Linked DNA regions of Mus musculus. The protein of the gene in region 1 purifies or fractionates together with the protein of each later gene. This does not show direct contact. Links are inferred from orthologs where the notes say so. Each region holds a gene or a part of one and is shown on either strand. Other genes may lie near its edges.

Region 1 (5,826 bases):
GTGGGGATCTTCAGTCAGAACAGGAGCTGGGGAGGGATGTGGGCTCTTCTACCCCAGCCTTGGACTTTCATCAGGTGTTGAAGGTGGGGGTTTCCCCCTGATTTGGGACTCCAGCAGAAGATGAAGGCAAGCTCCTCTTTTATGGTTCAGTTTGGCTTCTTTGAGTTCATCTGTGTTTGTCAGAGCTGAAAAGGGTACCACGCCAAGGACAGTGGCTTTGGGGTGTATGTGTGACAGATCCGCATTGGCTCATATGCAAAGACTGAGGCACCCAGCAGACTCTGAGGGACACACTCTCACCCTGCCAGGGGGCCCAGCAGCTCAGTTCAGCACTGGAGTCAGGGGCTGGAGTTTCCCACAAAGCTAAGTTGATTTCACTCCTGCTGCAGGGACCTCAGCTAGCAGGGCCTCCCCTCTTCTCCACAGCTGGAAGGCTGTGGCTCCAGGCATGGCAGGTGACTCTGTTCAGCAAGACTAGACATGATGGTCCCCCTCCATGCTCTGTAATTTGTCCCTGGAATCAGCCATTAAGTCATCTGTGAGGCTGATGCCAAGGATAAGAGCCCCCTATCAGCTTCAGGGATCTATGGTCCAGACTCCCTGGCTGGGCTGCCAGTTGTGCTGTATCAGCCTCCAGACAGGCTTGGTGGGAAGGGACCCAGGCTGTGGCCCTGGAACCAACTTGCATGACCGTGCCACTGAGACACAAGTCCATGACTCCTGGTCCAGGAGTCCTCGTAGCTCTCCCTGGCATTCTGTATCCCCCACAAGCCCCAAGTTCCCCAAATCAAGAGGAAAGGCATAATATTTTGCTCGAGCACCTATATACCTACCATACCTTATGTTAGGGGTCCCCACAGGTTCTAGCCACAGGCCTCCAAGAAACAAAGGATCTGCAGGGATGCTGGAAGGGTCTTAGTAAAGGCAGAGGATTGGCTCAGGGCAATAAAGATTTGGGAGGCTGGGTTCTGAACACTGTCCCCACCCGCCTGCTTCAGTTCAGCCACCTACCAACTTTCTCGCCCCCAACGCAGGAGTGTCCCGGGGGGCCCACGTGCAGCTGGGCCTCACCACATCCGGGAGGGGGGGGCGGGCAGGCACTTGAGTGGGGGAGCACAGAATGGCTGTGAGTTACCCAGTTTTTCATTCTTACAGTTTGGTGTGGGACCAGGGCCTGTCCCAGAGGGGTTTGTAGCTCCTAAGGGGTCGGAAGGGAACAGGTTCTGTGAATAGTCCTTCTTCCCCTGAAATTCCCGCCAGGCCTGGCTATGCCCTGGGAGAGCCCAGCATCGTCAACAGAGTTCCTCTTTAGCCCTGGCCTGTGGCATGGGAACTACTTCTTTTTAGGCTCTTGGGGGTTTCCCTGGGCCCCTGGGGAAAGAAACTGTCCCAGTCATAAGAGGAAACTCGTCACAGGCCCCTGCGCCCCTTCCCCATTAAAGCCCCTCCCACCCCACCCCACCCCCGCCCCTGCCCCAGGGCTTTGGCTTTCCAGGACTCCTCCACCTGGGCCTGGGCCTGACATGGGAGAATAGGACAATTTCCTGACGGTTGGTGTCTTTCCTAATAGTGTATCATTATGGGTAGCAACAGGTAATTTGTCCATTTTTGCTATCGAAATTCCTAGAATGAAAACCCTGGGAGAAAATGGGAAAAGTGAGGAAGCTGAAGACCTGAGTAACTCAAAGGCTCGGTGCAGCTGAGAGCTGAGTTCCTAAGCACTTAGTGGCTTGAAGCCTGGCAAAGAGTGGGGAGCACTGGGGCATATACACTGGAGAGACGTGGGTGGGGCCTCTAGACTCCAGGCCGACACTTGTCACGGTCTGGTTCCCAGTTTCTTCCCCCGCGTGTCCCTCCCCCTGATGCCCCGCCCCACCCACCCCCTGTCCGCTCAGGGAGCCCCGGGGGCGGCCCAGCCAGAGTCCCACGTGAAGCCGCGGGGGCGGGCACCGGCGCCTTCCTGCTCTACCCTTGTATGGTGACCCGAGGGGCCAGCCCTCGAGTATTTAAGCCCGGGCTCGACGAAGAGCCCCCAGAACCGTCAGCTCCCGCCACACAGACACCGCGCCGCCGGAGCCGAGGGAGAGGACATCCGGAAGCAGGAGGCTTTGCGATGCCGATCGCCATGGGGCTGGAGACGGCGTGCGAGCTAGAGTGCGCGGCGCTGGGCGCGCTGCTGCGGGAGCCGCGGGAGGCCGAGCGCACGCTGCTGCTCGACTGCCGCCCGTTCCTGGCCTTCTGCCGGAGCCACGTGCGCGCCGCGCGACCGGTGCCCTGGAACGCGCTGCTGCGGCGGCGTGCGCGCGGCACCCCCGCCGCTGCCCTCGCCTGTCTGTTGCCCGACCGCGCACTCCGGGCGCGCCTGGGCCGCGGGGAGCTGGCCCGTGCCGTGGTGCTGGATGAAAGCAGCGCGTCTGTGGCCGAGCTCCCGCCGGACGGCCCCGCTCACCTGCTGCTAGCCGCACTGCAGCACGAGATGCGCGGGGGACCCACGACCGTGTGCTTCTTGCGAGGTGAGCCCGCGCCCCGCGCCCTGCGCCCTTCGCCCCTTCTCCCATGTTCCGCGCCCCGCGCTCTTAGCCCCTTGTCCCACGTTCCGTGCCCCGTTCCCGACCTCTTGGCTAATCATACCCTTTCTTGTCTTTCCCACAGGCGGTTTCAAAAGCTTCCAGACGTACTGTCCGGATCTGTGCTCTGAAGCTCCTGCCCAGGCCCTGCCTCCTGCTGGGGCCGAAAATAGCAACTCTGACCCGAGGGTTCCGATCTATGACCAGGTGAGTTGATATTCGAATTTGTTGTCTTCATTGTGCATTCTAGAGGGATGCCTCTGGAGAACGCCAGTGGGGAAAGACAGGGGTGTGTTCCAATATACATTCCCAGATGTGGAGAGTGTTTGTGTGACCTGCAAATGGTGTGAACGTGTATATATCCTCATACAGACTTTAAGGCATATGTGGCACAAAGTGTCTGAACATATGTCCCCTTGTGGCCTCAAGACTTTTAATTCTGTCCTTGGTCAGAAGGCCTAGAGCTTCTCTTGTTTCTAGCCAATCCAAGATGTCTGGATCAAGCCCTCCAGCACAAGGCTGAGTGAGGTCTCACCACCGTCCCCTTCCTCCTCCAGGGTGGTCCTGTGGAAATCTTGCCCTACCTGTACTTGGGCAGCTGCAACCACTCCTCAGATCTTCAGGGCCTGCAGGCCTGCGGCATCACAGCAGTTCTCAATGTCTCTGCCAGCTGCCCCAACCACTTTGAGGGTCTTTTCCATTACAAGAGCATTCCAGTAGAAGATAACCAGATGGTGGAGATAAGTGCCTGGTTCCAGGAGGCTATCAGCTTCATAGGTAGGGGAGCCTCAGCCCAGGGTTCTGTGGGAACTGTAGGGGAGAAGGTACAGGCACCTGATTCCTCTGTCCACCTTCCTGTCTGACTCTCGGCTCCACATTTCTTTTTCAGACTCGGTGAAGAATAGTGGGGGCCGGGTGCTGGTGCACTGCCAAGCTGGCATCTCTCGCTCAGCCACCATCTGCCTGGCATACCTGATTCAGAGCCACCGGGTACGGCTGGACGAGGCCTTTGACTTTGTTAAGCAACGTCGGGGAGTCATCTCCCCCAACTTCAGTTTCATGGGGCAGCTGCTACAGCTGGAGACCCAGGTGCTGTGTCACTGAGGCAAAGCCCAGCCTGGCCCCACCCACAGCTCTGGCTTTGACTGACTCCTGGGGGAAGCTGCTGTGGCCCAGCTCCTCCCTCCTCATCTTGCCGTCCCACTGGGGTGCTAGGAAATCCAGGATGACGGCTGCTCTGATATGGTGCTCTTCTGAGGTGGCATAAGGGCTGGCCCTTATTTGCTCTCCCTCCTTCGACTTGCAGAAATTAATTTAATTAATTAATTTACTATATTAAAGCCCTTGGTCACCCAAGGGCTCAGAAAACAAGCTGTGACAAGCAGAAACCATGTCTAGGGGTGTGCAGCCCTTGACCCAAAGCTTAAGCCTTGTGCTCCCAGGGGAGCCAGGAAGTGACGTGTGTGTCATGTTACGGACATCTGACTTTTGTGTGTGTGTGTGTGGGCATCTCGCTGTAATTGGTGCTGAAAAGTTATTTGTGTTCAACTGACATTTAACGCTCTCTCCCCAACTTCCTCCCGGCCCTGTGGGCCAGGGAGGGGCGTTGGAAACAGCACTTTATATTTATATAGAACATTGAGGTTGTGTCAATAAAAACAGTGTTTTGTTTAAAAAAGAGCAGTACCACATTGTCTGGTCTCAAGTCTGTGCCTGCGATGGCTGAGTGGTCTGCCTTGGCCTGGGCTGGCCTGGGCTGGCCTGGGCTGGCCTGGGCTGGCCTGGGCTGGGCTCTTTCCCATACAGGTTCTAGCCTGTGGTTGAACTGGGAGGGTTAGGAAGGCCGAGGTCGGCCTCAGCCTCACAGCGGCTCTGTGCATCCCTGATCAGACCCCACATTTACCTAGTGTGTGGTGTGCAGGTATGTGTTGACTGAGGGCATTTAGATCAGAGGGCACTGGCTCCCTGGATGAAGGGTGCATAACCTACCCCTGGCGCCCATTTTCTCTGCTCTGGGTAAAGCACTCAAGAGCTAGGGTTGTTCTGAGCCTTCCTCAGGAATTGTATCAGTTTTTTTTTTTTAATGAATTATTTGGAAATCTCACATCAAGCACCCTGATTGTGCTCACCTCCCAGTTTTCCCACATCTGCTCCCTCCCCTCCCCAGGATGTTCTGCCCCCCCAAAAGGAAAAGGTAAGTCCATTTTGTTTTGTCCATATATTCACTGGAACATGGTTGAATTCTTAGTGGCCCACAGGGAGGAGGAGGAGGAGTCTTTCTTAGCCTTTCTCCATACCAGAAGCCATCAACTGAGGAAGAGCCAGTGAGGGGCGGGGCCAGCTCTCCCACACCCACACCCACAGACTTTAACGTGTTTTCAGGCAGCCTGCCTTAGTGGTAACCACAGGCATCAAGTGGGCTGGCCATATCAGAGCCACTAACCTATTCATGGCTCACAGCAGCTGTCCCTGGGCAGGTGCTACAACATGGCCTCAGGTGGCTACAAATGCCGCTCGCAACAACATGCTTCCACCTGAGCCCCCCTCCCCACCCACCCCAGGCAGCAAAGCCCAGGGACGTCAAATCATTAGTCAGAGGCACAGACTTGCATCTCCATCCTGGGGCAGCAACATGGACTATAGATACCAACATGACTTCCTGAACCTTTAAGGTGGTCTAATCCAGAAAGCAAACCTTTCTTCATCTTGGGCTTCCATGGTTGCTCAGAGCTAGCGGGATTTCAAGGCCAGGCAGAAGGTCTGGGGAGCTGAGTCTGCATCAGCATAAGCTCCAGGCTGCCATTCTGCCAACCTTCCTGGGCAATGACAGCGTGTCCACCAGCCCTCTCTCATCCGTCACCACCATCAATCACATCTCCAGTTTCGCCTTTCTCCGTAGCACACACACACTGCTTAGTTTTTCTATGTTCCCCACTATTCATCTTATATCTGTTTATTGTACTGGTGCCCGCCTGTACCAGGCCATGAGGCAGGCAACCCTACCAGTTTCTATTGGGACCTGTGGACTTGATGCCCAGCTCAGGGTGGACACCTGCGTCCCAGAGTCATTAACCTTTCATTATCTTATACATAGCATGGCTGGTTGCTGGCGGTCCCATTAGACCTATTCCTTGCCCTTCTGTGTTTCTAACATCTTACCTGCCTAGCAAATGGCCTTTCTTTCTTTCCTCTCCTCCCTCTCTTCCTTCCTTTCCTTTTTTAAGACAGTCTTACTATGTGGCCTTGATTTGTCTGGAAC
Region 2 (4,372 bases), on another chromosome or scaffold:
CCACTTGAAAGTCTCTGCATTGCCTGCTAGCTACCTACTACAGAAAGAAGTTTCTCTTCTAAGCTTGACTGAAGCATTGAGAATTAAGGGTATCAATATATTTAAAAGGCAGTTTAATAACAGCAAGATATTAGTAGATGTTGAGTTAACAGAATTAGGAAAGGGAGTTAGTATACATATAATTTTCCTGGCCATGGACTCTTTGACTAGATTTATAGCACCAGACACAGCTCTTCTGTAGAGCAGGCCTCAAACCTAATCCAGGAGTTGTGCTCTGAACTGAACTTGAACCTTCTGGAAGAACATTATGAACTTTTAACCACTGAGCCATGTCTCTACCCCACCCACTGCATTTTGAGGCAGGTTCTCTCAGTGGCTGTCCTGGAACTTGCAATATATAGACCAGACTGGCCTCAAACTCAAAGATAATGCTGGGATGATTGATGTGCGCCATCAGGACAGATGCTCTAGGTAGGCTCTCTTTGCCTTTTCTTTTTAATTGTATTTTATTTATATGCATATGAGTGTTTTGCCTGCATGTATGTCTGCCTGTATTAACAGGATCAGGCCACACTCTGAGCAGAGTCAGAAAGTGAGGGTGGAAGAAGATGGTGTCACACTTTCAATAAAGAAGTCAGTTTGGTTATTTCACTATCAAGTCGGGTGATACAGTAGAAGGCCACACTGATGCTTAATTCTTTTCTAACAGCACTTTTTTAGATAAGCCCATTGTGGTGCCCATACCTTTAATCCTAGCTCTTGAGGCAGAGGTACCTGATCTGAGTTCCAGAACAGTCATAGCAAGAAAGACCCTGCCATAAAAATAAACAAATGAAAACCAGTCCTGGTAGATTATAATTTTGTAAAGCAAACCAGATTTGACTAATGTGTTCTATAAAAAATAAGAATTTATAATGTCAAATTTCTTCTGGCCAGTGTTTTACAAGTTTCCTTTTACTTAATTTTAACTTTTACCATGCTGAAGGATCAAATTCCAGGGCTTTATGCTGCTACCAGGCAGCTTTCTAGCACAGAGCCAACAATCCCAAACCTGTTTTAACTGTAAACTCGCTCTTGTTACGATTATCAAAGGGGGTGTTTATCTTTAAAAGTAGATCCCAATATTGAGTACACTTGCCTAAACTATACAAGCTTTTGCTTGCCTCCTCATGAACCACTGCTTTGGGCCCTCGTCTACCAAACCAAGGAAAATAATGTTTAAATGGTCATCCTGTTTAAGAACTGTGTATCATTTCAAAGTGCTTTGGGACAGCACAGCCTGTAATAGCATTGTGAGATGGTTGCAGCCACTGACAAGTCTACTCCTAAAACAGACTTTTACACTCAGTCAGAGGCATCAGTAGTGATGTCAGTAAATACCATTTCATTTTTTTAAGCACTTAGTAAGGAAACAAGGAAATATTTTATTGCTTGCCAGTATTTTTAGTGCTTTAGTCACTGGTCAGTTGTTGACATTAATATAAAATGCTTTTGTAGAAAATATTTAGGTAAATTGTTGGCCCATGACCTCCTCCCCCCAAAAAAAGATAGTAGTTATATTTAAACTTTTAAACCATCCTAAAATTAAAAGCAAGATTTTGCTTCCTTCTTTTCGGATTATGTAGTTGGGTCTTAAGTATAGCTTGGAAAAAACTCCCATCCTATGGCTGTGAAGGTTACTTTGTAGATTTTGTTAGAAAATTATCCTAGTAACAACCAGAAATAGACCTGTGTTTTGCTTATAAGAAAGTTGGTAATTGGGCTGGAGAGATGGCTGCTCTTGTCCCAGGTTCTATTTCCAGCACCCATATGGCAGCTAGCAACTGCCTGGAACTCTAGTTCCAAAGGATCTGATGCTTGCCAAAGCCACTGTACACATGAGGTGTACAGATAGTGTGCAGACAAAACATCCATACACATAAAATACAATTTAGAGGCGGAGAAAGAGGTTGATAAAGGGCAGTAAAGCTTTCTAAAACTGTTGTTTGTTTGTTTTTTTAGGGATAAAGATGTGGTTGGTGGTATTTGGTGTTTCTGCTGTGTCAGAGAATTCAGTAACAACTATGGATAGTTGTTTTGGAGGCAGAAATGGCATTTTCATCAAAGTGTTATCTGCTCTTTAAGACAGTAGGAAAATGTGGTGGTTTCCTGTGTCAGGTTTATAGAAGTGGGCATTCGTCTCGTGAACAGGCCATGCAGCTCTTAAATGTCAGGTTCAGCATCTGCTGCTACTTTACATCTGCTGCTTCCATAGGTATCAACTAATTATCAACACAGATGTGACAGATGTTAAAACTTCAATACTTTACAAGTTTGTGTTCCTTCTACAAAGTAATTCAGTGAGCTATTTTTAATTTTCATATACATACTTTCTTTTTTTTTTTTTAGCTCTGCTTATGATAATCTCAACAAAGTTCGAGTTGCTATCAAGAAAATCAGTCCTTTTGAGCACCAGACCTACTGTCAAAGAACCCTAAGAGAGATAAAAATCTTACTGCGCTTCAGACATGAGAACATCATTGGCATCAATGACATCATCCGGGCACCAACCATTGAGCAAATGAAAGATGTGTATCCTTTTCTAAAGTTAGCTGCTGCCACTGCTGCTTGGTCACTTTGTAGAGTAAATAACTTGGAATCAAGAAAAAGTGCACAGAGGGTTTTTTTGTTGTTTCTGTTTTGTTTGTTTTTGTGTGTGTGTGGGGGGGGGGTGTTTGGCTGTTTGGTTGGTTGGTTGGGGTTTTTTCAGACAGGGTTTCTCTGTATAGCCCTGGCTGTTCTGGAACTCACTCTGTAGACCAGGCTGGCCTCAAACTCAGAAATCTACCTGCCTCTGTCTCCTGAGTGCTGGGATTAAAGGCATGCGCCACTATTGCCCAGCTTGCACAAAGAGTTTTTTAATCACTCTTCCCGTATATGTAAAAGTATGCTAAGAGGAGATTATAATGTTTGCGCTTACCTAGTATTTAAAGGATTTTTTTTTTTTTAAGATTTATTTATTTATTATATGTAATTACACTGTAGCTGTCTTCAGACACTCCAGAAGAGGGCATCAGATCTTGTTACAGATGGCTGTGAGCCACCATGTGGTTGCTGGGATTTGAACTCTGGACCTTCAGAAGAACAGTCGGGTGCTCTTACCCACTGAGCCATCTCACCAGCCCCAAAGGATTTTTTTTTAATTTTATCTTTTTTCTTGTAACTAGTTTTAATATGCTTTCTATAAGTTAAGTGTTTGTCAGTTTCTGTATAGTTTTCTTTAATCTTAGTTTTGGAAAGTTGATTCATGTAATTTCCAATCCCATGATGACTGTTATGATAGTGAAAAGGGAGTCAAACAAGCTTTCACAACAGGACGTAGGTACTCTAGTAGATGTACACTTGACCAGATCAGTGTCTTCCAGACAGTCCTAGTGTGCTCCTCTTTCAGCCTCAGCTTCCTTATCTTTAAAGTAACTGGGTCGAGCACAGTGATGCACTTTAATCCCAGCACTTGGGAGGTGGTAGCAGGTGGATATCTAAGCTCGAGGCCAACCTGGTTTACAAAGAGTTCCAGGAAAGCCAGGGCCTCACAGAGAAATCCCGTCTCAAACAAAACAAAAATAAAAAATAGAATAGACTGGACCTCAAGGTCTTGAAGACCAGATCAATTCTGATACATGTAATTGTAGCCAGCATTAGATATCAGTGGTGAGCTGGTCTAGAAGAGTCCACCTCCTAGGACCTGTAGGAACAGCAGCTCCATGTTTCTAGGCAGCTTTTGTCTTTGTAAGCATGTCTGTTAGTAAGTGGGGTGGTGTTGCAAGGGAAAGCCTCCTGCTGCTGCACGTGTTGCTCTTGTTACCTTTTGTCAGAGAAGAACACCTTTTATAAATAAGGTTTGCTTAATTCAAGCATGGGACTGATCTCATTTAGCCTGTAGAAAATAGAATAGTATTTATGCGTAAAAATAAATGCAAAAATTCCCCTAATAAAACATCATTATAGTAATGTTAAAAGCAAAAGGTTACTACAGTTTAATTTTCATAAGAAATAATGTGGCTTAGCTGAAGTTTTAGGTGCTTAGGCAGTGGAGGTTAAAGAGCAGAACCTATTATCATCAACTTCTTTACACACCTTATGGTCTTACAATACATATGCAGAATTTAGAGAATGAGGAAGAAAGGCAGAGATTGGACTCAGTGGCGATGCTATTTCTAGGCCAGTACTTCTGGGTTGGTCTGTGAGGATATTGGTGACAAGAAGCAAAGAAAACAGTGCAATACAATTACACATTGCTTCTGGGCCAAAGAGATGGGTGTTGTTTGTTGGCTACCATGCCCTTTAAGCTTTGGAGGAAATTGGTTAATAGTGGACAGTTTGGAGAACAGAG

What was found.
Region 2: the proteins of Dusp2 (region 1) and Mapk1 purify together in Homo sapiens (affinity purification with mass spectrometry; 4 studies listed by BioGRID and IntAct, with this or other methods). This does not show direct contact. The link is inferred for Mus musculus from reciprocal best matches to the Homo sapiens genes DUSP2 and MAPK1.

The regions. Positions count from the first base shown.
Region 1 is NC_000068.7:127,334,125-127,339,950, forward strand, and holds Dusp2 (dual specificity protein phosphatase 2), read left to right. Parts: upstream 1-2,034; 5' UTR 2,035-2,113; coding exon 2,114-2,513; intron 2,514-2,652; coding exon 2,653-2,774; intron 2,775-3,124; coding exon 3,125-3,344; intron 3,345-3,456; coding exon 3,457-3,671; 3' UTR 3,672-4,253; downstream 4,254-5,826. UniProt on the Homo sapiens protein: Dephosphorylates both phosphorylated Thr and Tyr residues in MAPK1, and dephosphorylation of phosphotyrosine is slightly faster than that of phosphothreonine. Can dephosphorylate MAPK1.
Region 2 is NC_000082.6:17,013,510-17,017,881, forward strand, and holds part of Mapk1 (mitogen-activated protein kinase 1), read left to right. Parts: intron 1-2,388; coding exon 2,389-2,571; intron 2,572-4,372. UniProt on the Homo sapiens protein: Serine/threonine kinase which acts as an essential component of the MAP kinase signal transduction pathway. MAPK1/ERK2 and MAPK3/ERK1 are the 2 MAPKs which play an important role in the MAPK/ERK cascade.